Linked DNA regions of Xenopus tropicalis. The protein of the gene in region 2 interacts with the protein of the main gene of each other region in a pairwise test. Links are inferred from orthologs where the notes say so. Each region holds a gene or a part of one and is shown on either strand. Other genes may lie near its edges. The genes, in order: mob3c and zbtb10.

The links.
Region 1: the proteins of zbtb10 (region 2) and mob3c interact in binary tests that used the Homo sapiens proteins (3 or more experiments, as listed by UniProt). The link is inferred for Xenopus tropicalis from reciprocal best matches to the Homo sapiens genes ZBTB10 and MOB3C.

What each region holds. Positions count from the first base shown.
Region 1 is NC_030680.2:93,708,743-93,713,060, reverse strand, and holds the start of mob3c (MOB kinase activator 3C), read left to right. Parts: upstream 1-1,497; 5' UTR 1,498-1,751; intron 1,752-1,945; exon of another isoform or gene 1,946-2,056; intron 2,057-4,318. UniProt on the Homo sapiens protein: May regulate the activity of kinases.
Region 2 is NC_030682.2:123,656,257-123,660,617, forward strand, and holds the start of zbtb10 (zinc finger and BTB domain-containing protein 10), read right to left. Parts: upstream 3,070-4,361; 5' UTR 2,685-3,069; coding exon 1,935-2,684; intron 1-1,934. UniProt on the Homo sapiens protein: May be involved in transcriptional regulation.

The DNA.
Region 1 (4,318 bases), on a different chromosome or scaffold from region 2:
TACACAAGAGAGTATACAGATCAGTATACAAAGTCATTTTACACCATTTGCCTTGAGCCACCATTATGTGATATTATCAGTGTCATTCACTGATCACCTGATAAGCTCTAACTGTAACAGGAAGAAGTGTGGGAGTAAAAGTCACAGCACTATCTATTCATTAGCTGATGTGACATAGCATGTATTTGGGCATTTGGTTTGTCTGTCAGCACAGTGACACATATAAGCCAGAGGGATGGGCTGTAGCACCTAAAATGGCAATTCACCAACATGGCACATACTGCTTGAAAAATATATTTCGCACCCCATGATTACCTTTCCTGTACTGGAGCTGGTCAGAGGGACTGCATAACTAGTGCAATTTCGCTCTCTGCACTATAAGAGCTGAATTTCCGGTTTAATAACCAGAAACTTGTGGGGTGCTGCCACTGCCTGTGATTATAGTGTAATCACTTAGCTGATAACCCGGGTCCTTGCTCCGGTTACCAGAAAACTGCACAGGCCCAGAGAACTTCTGTAGTACAACGGAATGATTTTTTTCTGCTTCTTTGATCTTCAGTGGCCTCGGCCGTTGCATGTGTAGAAGAGTGAGAAAGCCGGCTTTTTTATTAAACATTTCACTCTACTGCAAATGTGTACCTGTCAAGAAGAAGGAAGAAGCAGGAAAAATATTGCAATGTGGTGCTCACTCAGGGGTACCCTAGTTTTCTGCTAACACGGGCACTCCCCTTGGGTATATGGTAAATGATTATAATCACTAGGGGGTGCCTATATAGGCCAAGACTGGCAATCTGTGAGTTCTGACAAATGCCAGTCACTTATTGATTGGGCTGGCCATGGGCTGTTTGGGCCTCTGTGTACTGGAAATGCCAGGGTCTATTTTATATCCCAGTCCAAATATGTTCCTAACATTTGGCAGCCCCTGGTGATTTAATCTCCGAAAAATGCTTTCCCACCAGCAATAATTGCCAGTAGAAAAACATACGACTGTTTTTTTCAAAGTTGCCTCAAGATGAAACTTCGGGGGACTTCAAAAAAAGCCTGCGTATGTCTGCCCACTGGTAAACATTATTGCAGGTGAACTGGTGGAAGAGCATTTTTGTAGTTACATCTACTTTACCTTGTGCAAAAAATGCTTTTGTCTGCCATCCCCCTCACATATATATACTGTATGAAAAAGCAATTCAGTAGATATTTTGCCTGCCTAAGATATTTATTGCCCTCTTTGTATTAGCAACACAGCCAACACATGATCTGGTTGCTATGATCACACTTACCCTGGTTACCTGGCAGGGTGTTAGTGGAATACATAGAGGTGTCCATAGCCTGTAATTAGTCTACATTACAGTAGACTAATAACCCTGGCAAGCTGTAAAACAGGCAAAAACCAACAACCAAATGACATGTTATGCTCTGTGTGGCAATAGATAGATTTATATTTTTGTGTGAGTTTGTATAATAAGGTTTAGCTAGTCAGTCAGCACACGCTGGAAGAGCACAGTGCGAGTGGAATAGAGTGGGAGCGGGCTGCCTGCAGGTTGTGACACGAACAGCTGTACAGACTTCTAGACAAAATCAGGATGTGACATCACTGACAGGAAAAAAGGCAGTTTGTTTAATACAAACTTCCCAAAGCTCCGAGCTCACTGTGCCGTCATGCAATTACACCACAGCCGACAATAACCCGCTCCCGAACCATTGGACCCAGTTGGTTCCACCAGTTCCACACGTTCGGAAGTGCCTGCAGGACGGTGAGTGGGAGACTGGGGCAGTGCAGGGGCACAGCTCCTGTGGCAACAGCTAAATAATCAGCACATGATTTCTGGCCCAAGACCCAGTTCCCACGGTGCGCACCCATGTGGCCCGGAGTTACAAGAGTTAAATAAAGGGGACACGCACCAGATCAATGCGCAGTTATTATAGTGTGTTTGGCTTTAGCGTCTAGGTTACCGCTCAGCGTGAAGGAAGTGAGGTGGCCGTGGCAGGCTAACCCAGGCGCTCGTCTACCTGCTGCTCTACCTGCTCAGATCGCCTTTAAGCTGGCCAGGACTGTATTGTATGTATTGTTATTATTAGAATAGCATCGCAGAGGGCTGTTCGATACATTTTCTCTGCTGGCAGCTGGTACATTTCAGGAGTCAAAGTCATCAAGCAAAAACAACCTGTTTACTATTACTAGGCGCCAAGTTTGTAGGAAACCAGTATTTACAACTTGCATAATTGTATGACTAGGGTGACTTTAAGTAGAGAGTATAAAATATGAAATTCTGCAATGATGAGAAAATTTTGGCCACATGCACTTGGACACGCTCCTAAATACCACACACAATTTACCAAAACAATCACTATATAAAATAGATAATGGATATTTGAACCCAAGACATAACAAGTATAATTACTAAGGAAAATTGACAACCTGCATATTAACCCAAGGTATGCAAGTAAAATTGCTACAAAAATGCATAATCAGCATATTAACCCCAGATGTGCCAGTATAATTACTACAAAAAAATTGATAATCTGAATATTAACCCAACGTGCTTGTATAGTTACAACAGATAATGGAAATCTTTACTTCAGATGAGCCGGTATAATCACTAAATAAAATAGAAAATGGGCATTTTGCCCGCAGATGTACCAGTATAATTACTATGAAAAATGGATAATCTGCATATTAGCCTGAGATACGCCAGTATCATTACTACAGGAAATGCAGAATCAGTATATTAACCCCAGATGTGCCACTATAATTATTACAGGAAATAGTTAACCAGGATATTGAGCATTCCATTAACTGTGGCAAGGAATAATTTCCAACAGGTAGCTGCCTGTCAGGAGTAACATTGCCCAGTAGGGAGGGCAGAGCTGTATTGCCTGTATCCTAATTTCTCTAATAAGCGTGTAAGGGAAAGAAGAGGAATACAGTACAGCTCTACCCTGCTCTGCCCTCCCTACTCGATTCTGTGAGGTATACAGAATTTCAGGGGAGGACACTTGCCCCTATTTGATGTCGTCCACACCTAGGTGGGTATCGGGCTCTCAGGCTAAAATGTAGAATAGGGCACAGATATGGCATTCTTGGTGAGATGTCAGGATGCCTGACCTTGGTAACTGTGTTCAATGGAAGGGAAATGAATGACATGCCAGAGATGCAAGGCAGTTGGCCAACCCATTGCTGTATGAATAATGAAGCTAGTGGCCAAGAAAGAAGTCACGTAATTGGAAAATCAGCTTCATCAGGGGAGTTTAATGTCACAGACCATTATTTCATAGGCCAGCATAACAAATATCAGTTTGGCCAACAGAGGGCACTGTTTCAAACTGGGTTTTTCAGTATTGTTCTCTCATCAGTGCAATCCAGGCTTTGTTTTAAGACAAAGAAAACCCACCATATAAATGCAAGTTGAAATAACAAACAAGCAAAGAAGAAGAAAATAGATAGTAAGAGGGTACCATGGAGCAGATACATTTTATCAAGTAGAATTATCAAGTATACCTTAGGGCAAGGGTTTCTTTCCATCTGCATTTTGTAGGAAAGTGGAGAGAAGAGGATCTAGTCCTATATGCTCCTGTGTCTAAGTGAAGCTACACAGATCACACAAAAATGAGAATGCATGCATTTTTGGGCTTATCTCAGCTGTGTAGCTGCAAACAGGCCGATGCTACAAAATGCAGGTGGAGAGAAGTGGAGAGTGTGCCCTTGTCCTAAGACAACTTTTGGAGATGTGACTGTGGTGGCATCTGCTGTCTCTCTCTCTCTCATCTTAGTTAACTTAACTATAGAATGTTCTGTGCTGTTATTATAGTTTTTGAAATTATTTTTCTTCCTCTTCTATGAAGAAGCCACTCGGATGACTGGTAAATCCAGTTGCTTTAGACTTAATTCTACTACATCTGAAATGCACCGTCAGGTTGCTAGGGTAATTTGGACCCTTAGCTGCTAAAATTAGAGAGCTAAGCAAAAAAAAACACAAAAAAATAAAAAACTAAGAGCATTTGCAAATTACTGTCTACATCATACTAAAAGTTAATTTAAAGGTGATCTACCTCATTAAGCAGATATATATTGTGTTTCTGTGAGTGGACGCAACCAATTAGGTAACCTCTTTCAAAAATTCTTAAGCAGAAAGCATTGTACAAGTATTTGCAACAATTTAAGAAATTTTAAGCACTGATGGGTCATTCAGTGACCCTTGTTTTAATGATAAATACAACTTGGAGGAAAAGGTAGATTTCCTGTTCAGTGGTTAGTCTGAAATGATTGAATTCATACCACTTCATGGTCTGTCATATGACTACAAATGGTTGAAAAAAGCTT
Region 2 (4,361 bases):
TTTTTCAAGAGCTTGTCATGTGATTCTCACCTTAAAAAAAATTCTCACTTCATCAGTGGAGTGTGATCTCAGTCACTTTGACCCACACGATATATGCTACTACCCTGGTGCAGAAAAACCATTCCAGTGAAGAGACTCCTATGTGTGGAACTAAATGGGCATATAGTAAACTGCAGTACAAGCAAACTGACCAGAAACGTGCCTGCTGCCTCCACATAAGTGTTGAAAGTGGCCGAAAGGTCACATGATTGGCTGAATCTCTATGGATTTTAGTTACACTGCAGGTTCCCTTGGGGCAGTGAGTGATGATATTAACTAACTGAACACTCCCTGCAAAGCATCACATACATGCTACATAGAATCATAAGTGATACTAAAGTGCTTTTTAAAAGAAAATAAAATACTGTTTTATGCTTTTCCCCTATGCTGCAGTATAAACATACAATCCCTAAAGCAATACAATGTATGCAACACTAAAAAAAAATATAGTTAAACCCCATGACCTCTTACAGTGCATAGTTTACTGATGAAAAAAAAAAATACTTCTTGTGTCAACAGAAATGTAACAAGCATAAGTAGTGAGTAACATGGGTATTTTGAAGCAAAAGTACTTGTGCCACAAATAGCAGTAGGTTATGCATACTTTTTTAATCCCTAAAGATGGGGGATATGTTCCTCATGAAGGAAAATTATATTTTAGGCAACTTCCCAATGAACATTCAGTATGAATTTCCAGCAGGTTATTTGCAAATGCAATCACAGCTATTGTCCCTTTCTATACCCGGCATCCGTGGGTCTGACTCCTAAAACGTTAAATGTAGCTGCAGGGCAGTGCTGACTTCTTATGTGGGTTCAAGAGCCAAGACCAGCAGCGCATAAAGCAGGGATCCCCAACCTTTCTTACTCATGAGCTACAGCCAAATGTAAAAGGACTTGGGGAGCAACACAAGCACCATAAAAGTTCATGGAGGTGCCAAATAAGGGCTGTGATTGGCTATTAGGCAGCCTCTATACATACTATCAGCTTACAGGGGGCTTTATTTGGTAGGAAATCTTGTTTTTATTCAATCAAAACTTACCACCAAATCAGGAATTCAAAAATAACTCCCTGGTTTGGGGGCACGGAGAGCAACACCCAAGGGGTTGGTGAGCAACATGTTGCCCCTGAGCCACTGGTTGGGGATCCCTGGCATAAAGGAACAGGGAAACACTGGCTTCAATGGCAATTACATTTACAAATGAGTTTGATGGGACTGCCAATAGGAAAGCTGCTTGGCATATGATTAGGCAAATGTTTATTGTTGGCTGTACATCTCCCATAACTCTACCCCAGGCTGCACCACGTTGCTTCATGCCTAGACATGGGATTTTGTAGCTAAAGTGGCACTCTAGGAACGACTTCCTGGTGCTGCACAGCCCATGTGTATGTGACAGAGAGGGACAAGCGGCCGGGTATACACGGACTGTCGGGCCCCCATTGGGGAGCAGCCACGTAGCGACACGTCCCCTAAGCCAGGACAGTCCGCAAGCGGGCGGCGCCCACCTGGGGGAGGCACAGGAAGGGGACAGGGGGAGTAGAAGAACAGGGCGGGGGGAGTACACTTCCGGCCTCACAGCAGCATCTTAGGCCCCTGGAACAGTCTATGTAGGTCACCCCCTTCCTTCCCAGGGACAGTGACTGTGTGCAGCGCCCCCACCCCCTCCCGGCGTGAGGCAGCGGATAATCAGCTTTACCCACAGGGTGCGCAGCCACTGGCTCCAAGGGCAAAGCTGCCCAACAAAGGGGCGGCCGGGTCACGTGATCCGTACACCCCAGGAGCCATGATTAGGGGCCCGCCATGGTATAGGGGACATGTTGTGTCACAGAGAGAGGCAATGTTACACGGCCCTACACTATGGTATAAACACTGCACCCACTCCCGGCCCCTTATTACCTGAGCAGCTGGGTCGTTGATGCGATGCCGGGCGGTGAGGCTGTGGCGGAGCAGCGCGGCCCGCTTGTAGTTGCGAGTGCCCTTGGACAGCTCGTCGCGCCCGGGGCTCCCTCCCTCCTCCCTGTGGCACCAGGCGCAGGACATGAGGCCGGTCTCTTGGCAGAAACGAAGCCATTCGAATTCGTGCAGCCAGGAGCCCTGGAAGGAGCAGTGCAGGCTGGGCAGCAGGGACTGGGGGCGGGCAGCCGGGAACAGGCCGAAACGCCGGGTGCCATCACCCTGAATGGCGCAGTCTTCTTCTTCTTCCTCCTCTCCCGGCTCCCCCTTCTCGGCCTGCTCCCCGCCGCCTGGCACTGCCTCTTCTTCCTCCTCGTCGTCGTCCTCTTCTTCGTCGTCCTCTTCGTCACTGCTTTCCCCGCTTACCGAGCCCCCCTGCCCCGCAGCCGTATTACTGCCTCCCGTACCGGCTCGCTGCTCTAGCCGGCTTCCCAGCACCACTCCCGGGTAGGCCTCGGTCTCCTCTTCGTCATCCTCCAGCAGGCCCTCCGCGTCTAGCTCCACTTCTACTTCTTCCTCCCCGCCGGCCCCCCCTCCGTTCATCTGCCGCATGGACCAGGCCGCGGCTTCCTCCATAGACAGGACCCCTGAGCCGACGCCATTGTTGTTGTTATTGTTCACGGGGGTCCCCGCTGTGGACAGGCCGCCGCCGCCTCCCCGGAAGGCCAAAGTCCTGCGGTTCATCTCCGCCATGTTTTACGGCTTCCCAACCTGCCACCTCCTGCCGGGGGCCACCACGCGTCCCGCCTGTGTGGGGTGCCTGTGAGTGTGCCTGCCCGCACCGCCGCGCAGGGGCTTCTGGGAAGTACAACAACCGCCCCCTCCGGTCACCGAGCGGCTACTGGGCAGCCCCAGCTCCGTCCGTACTACAAGCGCGTTCCTCCGTTCGGTTTGCGTGTAGGAAACAGATGGCGCCTAGGGACGCATCTCTCCCCCTGCACGGCCCTCGCTGAGGTCGAATGGCAAATGAACAACGGACTGCGCCCACAATGCACCGGGGCGCTGTCCGGAGAGGGGGAGTCAGGGGGGCGGGTGAGGTGGGGGTGGGGGGAGGCCTCCTTCCATGCACAGGCTATTACTGTGCCTCACCCCATTGCTGGGACTGCACCCTGTCTGGGGGAAGGGATTCGGCTAGGGACAGATGGGTTCTGCTTGCACAGTCTGCCGAATTCATGGGGCTCCCGTACCCCAACATTGCTTCTGCCTGTCTGTGTGCTATCTGTATTTTCATACTCGCTGGATACCCTGCGCCTTGGCTTGTTAGCTGGGGTTCGATTTGTTCTCATAAGCGGTCATGTGTAATTGCTAGCAGCCCAGTGTTTGGTGCAGAGAGTTGTAGTTCGACAATAGGTGCTAATATCATTGTTCTCATTATATGTGTCAGGTTAGAACCTATGTTAACATGGCTCAGTTCTAGGTGATTCTGAACTCTTGTAGCCTACTACAGGCAGTGTTTGTTCCACTGATTTAGTTCTGGGCTGAGTCCCATACACTTGGCACAACCTGCCATTGCTTTCCTATAATAAACCTGATATCTGGATGAGCTGAGTTTGCCTGTAGGCTCCCTTCTCTTCTGTACATTACAACTAACTCCTGCTGCACCTGTCACAAGTCAATAAGATTATGTCACCAAAGGCCACACTGGGACCAATATTGTCTGCCCACTCAGCCACACTTGACTATTGACCTGTGTATGGGATCCAAACAACTGCCTTCCGACAAAGCTCTGCGTAACCTGCTAGCTATAGAAAGAAATAAGTATGTGTGGGCAACTTGTGCATAAATGCTTAGGATTTCTATAAAGTGTGGTCATGGCGACTGCCCAAACGAAAGCAACCCCCCTCACACCCTGAGAATGCATTTAATATATATATGTTAAAGGGGTTGTTCAACTTCAAACAAACCTTAAGTATTTTATTTGTTGTTTATTTTTTTTATTTATTTGTATTGTAGTTTTGAATTTCAGCAGCTTTCTGGTTGCTAGGGTCTTGTTTACCCTAGCAACCAAGCAGTGGTTTAAATAGGAGGCAGGAATATGAATAGGAGGGGGCTTAATAGAAAGATAAAGAATAGAAAGTAACAATTATCAGGGTTGGAACCGATCCCTACTGGGTGCTTCGGGGCCCGCAGGTCCCCCTCTACAGACGAGCCTAAGTATGCATGCTCGGGGGAGGAGGATGGGTGAGCAGCGGGGGCTTGGGGGCGTGGGGACCACGGGGGGGAGGCCCTTAGGTTGTTGGGCCCATGTGGTGGCAGCCCTGGTGGGCCCTGCACCCCCCACTCCGATTCTAACAACAATAATAATAAAATTTGTAAGTTCATGGAGTAATAGTAGTTTAACTACTGAGGTCAGTGACCCCTCATTTGAAA